Coturnix japonica: one gene and its partner. The protein of the gene in region 2 binds, or shares a complex with, the protein of the main gene of each other region. Links are inferred from orthologs where the notes say so. Each region holds a gene or a part of one and is shown on either strand. Other genes may lie near its edges.

Region 1 (4,741 bases), on a different chromosome or scaffold from region 2:
AACAGAAGAAACAAACAAAAAAAAAAAAAAAAAAAAGGATTAGTGATGCTGTGATTCTTGTAGCACCTACTTTTTTGGATGAAAGTAAGAGTGTTTGGACTGGCTCAAAGTTTGGGAAAAGCTGTGTTTCTTCAATAATATGCATTCCATTTTCATAGCTGATAGCTTTGTGCAGGGCCCCTTGATCTGCAATAACACAGAAATGTATTTAAGTGAGATTCTTAAAATAAAAAGGCAAGTAAAAATGCACACTTGTACAATTTGCTTCATTTATCCAGCTGAGACTTCACACCAGCCTGTGCCAATGGTAAACATTATACGTGCCACTGCAAGGAGTTCTGGAAAAGGCCTTCTGAAATGAAGAATGGCTTTCAGGGATTATTTTGTGAATGTTTCTGCAGTTTGCAGAACGGCTTAGGTTGGATGGTATCTTAAAGATCATCCAGTTCCAACCCCCTGCCATAGACAGGCCTGGAACCCACTAGATCAGTCTGCTCCTGCCCAGGGTGCCATCACACCTGACCCTGAATGCTTCCAGGGATGGGGCACTGACAATTCCTCTGGGCAGCCTGTGTCAGTGCCTCACTGCCCTCTGAGTAAAAGATTTCTGAGTAACATCTGACATACAATCTCCCCCTTTTGAGTTCAAATCCTATCCTCCTCATCCTATCACTTTTAGATCATGCAAAAAGTTGGTCACCCTCCTGCTTGTAAGCTCCCTTTTAGTACAAGCTCAACTTCCTCAACTTTTCTTCATAGGAGAAGTGCTCCAGCCCTTTAAGCATCTTCATGGCCCTTCTCTGGACCTGCTGATATAGTTTCACATCTTCCCTGTACTGGGGCCCCCTTACTTGGGCACTGTACTATAAATGGGACCTCAGGAGGGCACAGTAGAGAGAGGCAACCATCCTCAACTCTCAACCCACTGGCCACCCCTCTTTCAATGCAACCTGGGATACTATTGGCCTTCCAGGCTGCAAGAACACACTGCAACAGATCCCCAAGTTCTTCTCTGCAGGGATGCTTTCCATGAGTTTTCCCAGTCTGCACACATACCTGGGACTGCCTCGACCCAATTGCAGTATCTTGCATTTGGCTCTGTTAAACCTCATTAGATTCTCATCTGCCCACTTTCCAAGCCTACTCAGGTACCTGTAGATGGCATCCCTCCACTTCTATTGTGTCAACTGCCTCACTCGGCTTGGTGTCATCAGCAAATTTGCTGAAGGGTACACTGTCAATGTTGTTGATTAAGGGTTTTGGTTTTTTTTTCTGATCTCCTCCTGCAAAAGCCCCTCAAAGCAAGCAAGGTTCTCCATGTACATATTGTGGCTCCCTGTTTTTCTATGAAAATATCACATGCTGCAAAAATACTGTAAATATTTTGAGTTTCCATTAGAGCACATTGCCTGAAGAATAAGTACCATTATTAAAAAGAATGTTATGCAGAACTTACCTGTACTGATGAACATAACATCATATATTGTACCATTGAGTGCTCTGACTCTGTCTACTACAATCTGGGTATATTTCACATCTCGTTTTACAAGGCGGGGTCTGTCTCCCACTGGAGTTACTGAATCATCCATTAGTGGATGGTCTTTAACAAACTGCAATGTTTTGTCTGGTAAGTTCAGAGAAGTCATGTAGTTCAAGGCTCTGGCTTCACTGTTTATACACTATTATTTAAAAACAAAAGAAAGAAATCATATAGAGAAAAGCAAATTATATCCTAGCAGCAGGTACATGCATTTTCTTCGGCACATAAAGACATAACTATACATTATACTCATCCAAGCCTAGAAGGCACTCAAGTATCGCAGCACCTTGGCTTCTGTAATATGCTGATCTCTAAGCAAATGGTTCATATTTCATTTTTATTTGGACCCAAAATATATTATAGGAAAATACATTAATTTAGTATTGAAATAAGGAAAACACAAACACTACAATTAACTGTATGGTAAATTAAACAAACAAACAAACAAACAAAACAAAACAAACAAACAACAGATACAAGCTTTAAAATAAATCACTTGAAGTGTTTTTCAGCAAATCTTTACAATACAAAGCATCCAGATCACAGCAATCTAATAGTACGCATTAGTAGGGCTTTTTGTGTTTTTATTGTTTGGTTTTGTTTGTTTGTTTGTTTGTTTGCTTTTCTAGTTTCTTTACTCCTGAGCATCATACCCAAAATTACAGAAACTTACTGCACCAGGTCGAGGGTTAGGAATCTCCCCATTGTACCGTACCCACTTAGTATGGGACTGTTCTACTGTAGCACTCTGCATATACTTCCCTTTTGAGAAAACTTCTTCTACAGCAGACAAATTGTAGGCACAAACGGCTGACAGTCCCACATTATTCCTAAAAATATAGGGGGAAAAAAAAATCACAGGAGTAATTACTTGATTTAACAAACAGCTGAGATCAAAACTACTCATCCAGGGAAATACTGTAATAGCACACTTACAGCTGTGGGGTAAAGACTCCATATATCACTGGTTCCTTCAGGGTTGGAGACTTCAGAATAAAAACATCATTGATAATATTGAAAATTAAATTCCTGTCTGGAATGGTGCATATCAATCTGGCCTTGAGAAAAGAAGTCCATTTTTTTTGCAAAGTCCTCAGTCCTCCTTGGTCCCTCTTTTGGCATTGGGGAAAAAAAAGATAAGTGTCTATGAAGGCAGCAGTTTTGTACTTAAGAACCACAGCTACAAAGCTACCAAACTACTTTTTTCTTCTATTTGCTAACTGTATTTGAACTCCTCTAATTACTATACTTCTTCAACATTTCATCTACAGCAACATTAAAAACTGCAAATATGCTCATATACATAAAAGTAAGGGAGACACAGAAGTTAATAATTTACTTATTGGAGTCAACAGAAATAACGCAGAATGGTTTTTGTAAACATCTAGAAATAAGATGAGACACTGGACTTCTAAAAGAACTGTTCTTCAGTACTTGAAAAATAGAGATCAGTAATGTAACTTTATAAAACACAAATGCCTACTGTAACAATTAAAATAAACATGGAGGCACTATACACATCCTTTAACATAAATCAGCAACAGCTCATTTGTTCTTTGACATCCAAACACAAATGATTTCTACTGTAATTTTGAAATATACACTTAAGATGCCTGACATTAACAATTCCACTAGGAAAAAAAATGCACCATTGGCCTATTCCTGTGGGCAGTTATGATGTTTACGAAGGATCTGTAGTACTGAAAGATATCTTTTACCAGACTAGAAATGCTTCAAAAAATTTAGTTTATGAGTTCTAGCTCTGTTATTTCTTTACAAAAACAGGCATATTTGGGCACTGTTAATAGTTTTTGTTCATTATCCAGAGCTTTCATGTAAAGAACTGAAGAAAAACTGAAAGTTTAAGTAGATCTAAGTAAAAATTAAGTAAAAATTCCTTTCGAACTGCAATCTGCCATTGATTCCTTTTATTATCAAGCAGAAGCAATACATCTCTCATGTTCTGTGATACTCCTGTTCTGAAAAGCGCACAAGCTGTATGTGGGCAGAGGGCTATAATATTAAGTCCCATGTAAAGCTACCTCCAGCAGATTATTTAATAGAAATTTCAAAGGCACTAACTTGTTATTGATATCTCAACTTCCATATTTAAATATAGAAAAGTTAGAATAAAACATTTCAACTTAATCAAAATGAAATGGCTAGGTGATAACACTCCAACGGAAAGGATATTTTGTACTTGAAAAATATCTTCTTCCATTAGCAAGATTTTTAACCAATACTACTTGATTGAACCAAAATAATTAAGGTTTAATCACACTAAGTGCGGCAGACTGCTTGTTTGTGGCTCTGGCAGCACCACAGAAGTCCCATCTGCTGTAAGTAGCTGTGACTACAGAAAAAATGATAAAATGATCTTCCTTACATGCTTCTGCCTGAGAATAACTTGAATATGACACACTTCCTATCTGCTCAACAGCAACTTAAGCCTTTTTTCTTTTTTTTCATCCCCCCCCCCCCCCTCTGGGACCATAATTACATTTTCAGTTTAAAAAATAAAACAGAATCAAGAGTCTTTTTTTTTTTTTTTTTTTTTTTTAACCATTGTTATTCTCCAACACCTCCCAGGAGAGGACAGAACCCTCACACATACTGAAATTTCACTGTTAATTAAATTAAGTCAAGTATTAGTTTCTAAAGCAAGAAAGACACATTGTCAGTTATGACAAACTGGTTAAAACTGCTGTTTCAGTGAAATGAAGTTAAACCATTTCCATTTAATTTACAATAAATGTAATTTTTTTTTCCACTAAAAACAAAATCTACTGTAATTAGTAAAAGGCGATTGAACCATGTCCCACCTTGCACACTCTAGCTATTCTTGGAATCATAAGTTTTCCAACAAATTCATATTCCACAGACACCTCGGTGAAAAAGAAGTATATCTTGTCATCTTCTCCATCTGTGCTGTTTTGATCTGCTCTTACCACATCAGCAAAAACAAAATTTGGCTCTACAAATACAAAGAGAATAGTTCTACTTTATAAACAACTCTTTTAACTTTATTTTCTTGAACACTTTCTAGGAATTTTCTTCTCCCAAACTTCACAATGCATTTATCTGTTCTTCAGTTACTGATCTGCCTACACTGTTGAGCCCATGATAACACTTCTAAAACAGTACAACAGTGGAGGAAAAAAACCCAGCTATTTAACATACCATACCTTAAAGATCTCTAAT
Region 2 (5,536 bases):
CTCTGATATCCCAGCTCCTGGAGCTGTGGGCATCCCTGTTCATTGCAGAGATTACTGATGGCCTTTAAGAATCCTTTCCAACTCCAATGATTCTGATACCAAGAGCACACATCCTGCAGGAGCAGAGCACAGACCTGCACCCTCCAGCTCTTTGTGTGACCCAACACAGTGCAGCAACATCACCAACACAAAGTGCAATACAGCTCAGGACAGGAGAGCTATGGGAAGTGTTCAAAACAAAAATCATTTGGGACACACACATGTGTAGAAACCTTAAGCTGAACACACTTCTGCTAACACTGTAATTTGCAGAAAGATTACAGTGGGGAAAGACGTCAAATACACCCACTCTATTTATAGAGCTAAATGTAATTTGGCCAGAAAGCTCGTTCCAGCAGCACAGACAGATGCCTAAACACAACCAGCCCCCCCCGCAGTGCCAGGCACAGCCTTCCTCTGCCTCCCTGAAGCACAGAGCCCAGCAAGCAGCGTCCTGCTGCAACAGCTTCACCCTGAGTCATGACACCTACAGCCCCCCAGCAAGGACAAAAGACCTCAGACATGAGATGAATGGGAACAGACACAAGGAGCAAGATAAAACGGTACCATCTGCTTTAGGAAACAAGCACCATTTTCTAACAGAGGTCTGCTATGGGGCAGGGGGTGGGTTTGAAAGCAGAAGCTCTGGTGCAGAGCTGAGGCTGCAGGAGCTCAGCCCACCCACTCCGCGCCATTCCAAAGTTAAACTTCAAAGCCAAAAGCAATGTGAGACTCACCCACTTGCCAGGCACAGGAGAAGCACTCTTTGCAGCGCTCGCAGTGTTTATACTGCAAGCAAACAAGTAAAGTTCACGTGCAATTAAAGTCTGGCATCTGGGAATTTCCTTCGGATCTGAACCATTTGAAGATTCACCTCCTATTTTCAACCAACTTCGAAAACCTTCCTATCAGATCCTGCCTACACAAAGCCCAGCTGCACTTCGCTCTCCCCTCCTTTTCTTTTCTGAGGGGGGTGGCATAAGAGGTTAGAAAGTTGTATCCTCGCTTTAAAAGCGATTCTGAATCGAAACGACTTTACCTTCCACCAAATGGGAGGCAAAAATAAAATCCACCTAAGCTGGCACCATCTGTTCCTTTCCCTTTTTTTCCACAAGCATCGGGAGGCAGCGTCAGCTTGGAGTTAATGACATGGAGACCTAAATTGCTTCCTGTAACCTCAAAAATCACTCTGATCTCAGTTAATCTTGGCTAAAAAATATATATATAAATTATTAGCAGCGAAAACAAGTCCTTACTTCAGCAGCTCTTCCAGAGATCACAGCAAACCCCTGTGCTTCTCCTGGCAGTGGCAGCACGTGTCGGCACAGGTCGGTGCATCCTCAGCAATACTGCAGTGCCAGTGCCCGCAGCCCATGCTATGGGGCAGGGGGATGGCTGCACAGCACCAATGCCATGCCTGTATGGCTCTGGGGAGAGCCCAGGAAGCACATGCCTGTGCTCTCTAAGGATTCCCTGCCAGCACTGAGGGTAAACAGGACAACATTCAGATAAAGAGCAACACAAACCTCCTGCAAAGAGACCACCACAGCCACCAGGTCAGAGATGACTGAGATGTCAGGATAAGGAAAACGATACCAGCACAGTGAGAGCCAGCTGGCACGTTCCCACCGAGGCAGAAGCAGCTCCCCCATGGCTTTGACGAGCAGCAAAAGATGAATCTATTCAGTAATTCTGCAATAGGTAACGAAGGAGCCACAGATGGATGAGCATCAAACACAAGGCTACACCAAAGAGCAACAGGAAGGCTCCAGCTCTGCTCCCATTGCGCCCAGGTGCATGAGGGAGGAGGAGAAGCTGAAGTCCTTCTGGTTTGCTCTGAGAAGCAAGAAGGACTGGGGCTGCCTCACCTCCTTCTGAACGTCCCCTCAGCAGGTGACCCTGCAGCACAAAGCATGCCGTGCCCATACCCAGCACTGCTCCGGGTGCAGCATCAGTTCCTTTCCTGTTGCACAGAGCCAGGCTTCACCCCTGGGTAGGCACCTCTGCTGGCAGCCCCATCCCACAGCACGGACCCTCTCTGGTGCATTGGGTCCCATCACGGCACTCAGAGGACCCTCCTCACCCCGGCACAAAGCAGAGGGAACAGCTCAGCCACTGACAGTCTGCGCCCCACCTTTCTCGAGAGAGTTATGCTGGTCATTTTAATCTGATTAAATATTGTTAATCGTATTACTAACCTAACTCTTTTCACATGTTGGAAGACCTTTAAAGACAAAATTCCATAGGTGGCCCTGCGATCTGTGAGCTTTATGGCCCGACCGCAGCCAAGCCCAGCCCCTGCCCTGCAGATCCCAGCTCTGCCAGACATCCCAGGCTCCAAACCGACCCATCAGCACTTGTACCACTCCGAGCTCCGTCGGTGGGAACACCCATTCCTCGCAGAACACAGGACAGTGCTCCAACCTCCTCCTGACCCACAGCAACACCTCCAGCCCCAGCTCGGCTGCCGACCTCAAGCACACAGGGACATCATTAACGCAGCACTCGCTGACTCCTCTATTTCATACACAAAGCGCATCACGGCAGCCTCCATTCAAACGGCGACTCCCGAACCGAACACACCGCGATCAGCGCCGTACCGGGCAACACCGAGCGCAGGAAGTTCCGACGGGAAGAGCTCCGATGGCACCGGCACAACGGGCTCCTGGTGCGGGGCTGGGGGAAGGAGAGGGCACAGCCCCAGCGTGGAGCACACGGCCTGCCCGTACCGGAGCTGCCCGTCACGGAGCCACCTCCTGCCGCGTGCCACCGGTACCGGAGAAGTCAGCAAAGCGGGTCTAACCGCGGAGCGAGCCGGGCACGGTCCGGCGGTCCCAGGAGCGGTGCCGGAGACTTCAGCGCTCCAGCCGCCCCAGCACCTATCGGGCCCGGGCCATCCGCGCCCCTTTCGGTCCTTCCAGCCGCTACGATGCCGGCTCCGACCCTCCGAGCGGCACGGCCCAGTCCCGCTCCCACCTTTCCCACCGGGACCGCCCCGCTACCTCCCCCCGCCGCGGGACTCCGCTACCGGAGCTCCCCACCCCCCTCCCACCGCACCGGGACGCACGTTTCGCCGCCGGGCGCGGTGCTGGTCCCGGGGTGGGATTCGCCGCTGAACGGACGGCCCCGGGCGGCCCCACCGCGCTCCGCTCCCCGCGGGGCCGCGCCCATCCCCCACGCGGAGACAAAGCGCTGCCCCGGGGCCGCACCTGCCGCCGCCCCCCGGCCCCGCCTCGTCAGCATCCCCCCGCCCCGGGCCCGTTCACACCCAGTACCGGCGGTGCCCCCCCCCCACCGCGACCCCCGCGGTCCGCGCCGCCCCTCACCCTCACCTGCCGCCCCGCTCCGCTCCGCTCCCCGCCGCTCCGCTCCGCCCGCACCGAGCCGCGCAGCGCCGGCCCCGCCCCCACCCAATCGCAGCCCGCCGCACGCCGAGGCCGCGCCCCCCTCCCGTCCCGCGGGGTCCGAGCGGAGGCCGGGACGCCCCCCCAACACCGCCGACAGCAACAAGCCGCCATTGGCTGCCGGCAGCAGGGGGTCGGGCCGGGTCTGCACCGGGAGCGGGGCGGAGGAGCCGCGGGTCAGCTTTGTGTCGGTCCCGGCTGCACGGAGCACGGCCCCGCAGCTGCAGGTGGCCGCGGTGCCGGCACTGCCCCGCTCTGCGTTTGGGAAACCGGGATCGGAACAAAAGCGCCGTTATCTGCAGCCCCGGGGACGGCGGCACAGAAGCGAAACGTGGCACGAGCCGAACGCGGTTCGCACACGGGGACGGACGGACGGAACAAAGCTCCGTCGGTAGATGCTCCGCACGGCATCGCCGTTAATGCTCCCGTGTTTGTGTCTACACCGTGACCACCGTGCTGCCGGCTGGGACACGCTGCAGGTGGACGGAGCGCGGTGACAAAGACCTGATGGAGCTGATGCGGGCAGATGTGCGGAAAGGCCACACAAAGGACGGGCTGCATCCAGGGAGGAGGAATTGGAACAGAATAAGCCGCTCGCCCATCGCTGCCGGTTGTTTGCTGGGGGAATTGCTCCGCTGGAGGCACAAAGCTGCTCTCTGAAGGGCCGGGCACGCTTCCCTCCCACGTGCATTGCTGACATTTCAGAGGATCGCTGTTGGTACGGTCCCTATGTCCCGCAGTGTCACTGAACATCCGCTCTTTGTTACGCTGTGTCGCCCATCTCCTGCTCCCACCCCAACAAGTGCTGCTTTCCGAGGGAGAAATGATGGCCATGGGCACAGGGACGGGGTGGGACCCACATAGGAAGGACTTTGTAGGGACACCCAGCATCACCGCTCCTCACCCAGGCCGAGGAACCCACCCTACTGCCCCACTCCCACCTCTGTATGGCTGCAGGGTTAGGGCTCATTCACCCAACTCGTCACCAACCCGACGAATCAGACATTCGACCTTCCACCAAAATCCAGCTTTGGTGACTAAGAGCGTAACAAAAACACGTCTATTTTCCCTTTGCTCCAAGCCATTCCTGACTCAAGGCACTAATCCCCTGCCTGCCTTTCCTCCAGAGCCAGTCCCGACCTGCAGCCCCTTCAATCTGCCTTAACAAAAAAAAAAGCCCTAAGACATGCACTGAAAAGCTTTACTTATAAAGCAGCAAACCAACCCAACCCAACCCAACCCATCGCAGCTGGGAGAGCACGCTGCAAAAGGAAGCCGTGCTGGGGGGCTGCACCCCCCTGCAGTCAGGGCGCATCCCAGGCGGTGCAGGGGGACGCGCTCCCTCTGCAGGAAGGAGCTTTGCACAGCGATCCTGCTCCCAGAACGACCATCAGAGCCGGTTTTCGGGCAGGGCACGGCTGAAAACGGCACTAATTTGTCCATTCAGCAGCTTCTGATTCCCACTTCTACAGTTGTTTTTCTTTTATCCATTCAAATCCATACAGGATCCTCCCCTCTGGAAGCCCCTGCTCGCAGCTGCCTCTAAGCAGGTTATCTGAGTTTTCTTATGTAACAGTTGTGGTAATCACAAGACCAGCAGCTGCTTATACCCCTTTTGATTTCCTTCTTGCTCTTCCTCCCCTCCGAGCAGGGGATGAAACTGGTTCAGGAATCACGAGTGAGTCCTGTCTATCGCTCCTGGCCATGAGCTGCATCTACAGCAGCGATCCAGGGGCGGGCAGAAGGTTGGTTTATTGCTCCTCAGTACCACACAGAAGGAAGTATTTGTTTTTAGAAGGTTTTCTATGCAAGAAAACATCTTTGCCAAACATAGCTACAACCAGATCAACAGGAACACCTGCAGCTTCCAATCAGGATGTCGGAACATTCAAACCATGACTGATAAACAGACACGTACTGACGGTGATACCACATACAGTCGCCTTTGTTTTGCATTCATAAGCAGTGTTTGATATTCCTTTCCCCTGTGGAATAAATGGCAAGTTCTCTTCAGAAAGCACCTACTGTTACAAGGCAGCAGTGACCTCATGCCATGTATTTTCCATAGCCACTAGCTAGGCTGTTTGCTCTTC

The links. Proteins that work in one complex are often made in the same cells at the same time.
Region 1: the proteins of PLXNB1 (region 2) and SEMA4D are in contact, whole or in part, in a crystal structure (PDB 3OL2), measured with the Homo sapiens proteins. The link is inferred for Coturnix japonica from reciprocal best matches to the Homo sapiens genes PLXNB1 and SEMA4D. Residues at the interface, in NP_001123554.1 of Homo sapiens: Leu80, Pro81, Pro82, Glu87, Arg136, Pro137, Gly138, Asp139, Thr140, Tyr142, Gly178, Glu202, Lys205, Ala207, Gly209, Arg210, Ser212, Glu213, Arg235, Arg242, Asp359, Val360, Asn361, Ser362, Leu367, Pro368, Thr371, Tyr375, Ser379, Asp380; in NP_001358123.1 of Homo sapiens: Glu99, Lys100, Gly101, Phe158, Tyr179, Phe181, Leu182, Gly183, Ser184, Arg198, Tyr201, Ile203, Glu208, Val240, Leu264, Arg265, Thr266, Leu267, Gln268, Lys270, Thr347, Gln350, Ser351, His352, Thr353, Asp388, Gln392, Lys395.

What each region holds. Positions count from the first base shown.
Region 1 is NC_029547.1:38,971,079-38,975,819, forward strand, and holds part of SEMA4D (semaphorin-4D), read right to left. Parts: intron 4,515-4,741; coding exon 4,363-4,514; intron 2,653-4,362; coding exon 2,477-2,652; intron 2,371-2,476; coding exon 2,214-2,370; intron 1,680-2,213; coding exon 1,457-1,679; intron 187-1,456; coding exon 71-186; intron 1-70. UniProt on the Homo sapiens protein: Cell surface receptor for PLXNB1 and PLXNB2 that plays an important role in cell-cell signaling. Regulates GABAergic synapse development. Promotes the development of inhibitory synapses in a PLXNB1-dependent manner.
Region 2 is NC_029527.1:8,806,227-8,811,762, reverse strand, and holds the start of PLXNB1 (plexin-B1), read right to left. Parts: upstream 3,405-5,536; 5' UTR 3,372-3,404; intron 3,159-3,371; exon of another isoform or gene 3,107-3,158; intron 1-3,106. UniProt on the Homo sapiens protein: Receptor for SEMA4D. Plays a role in GABAergic synapse development. Mediates SEMA4A- and SEMA4D-dependent inhibitory synapse development. Plays a role in RHOA activation and subsequent changes of the actin cytoskeleton.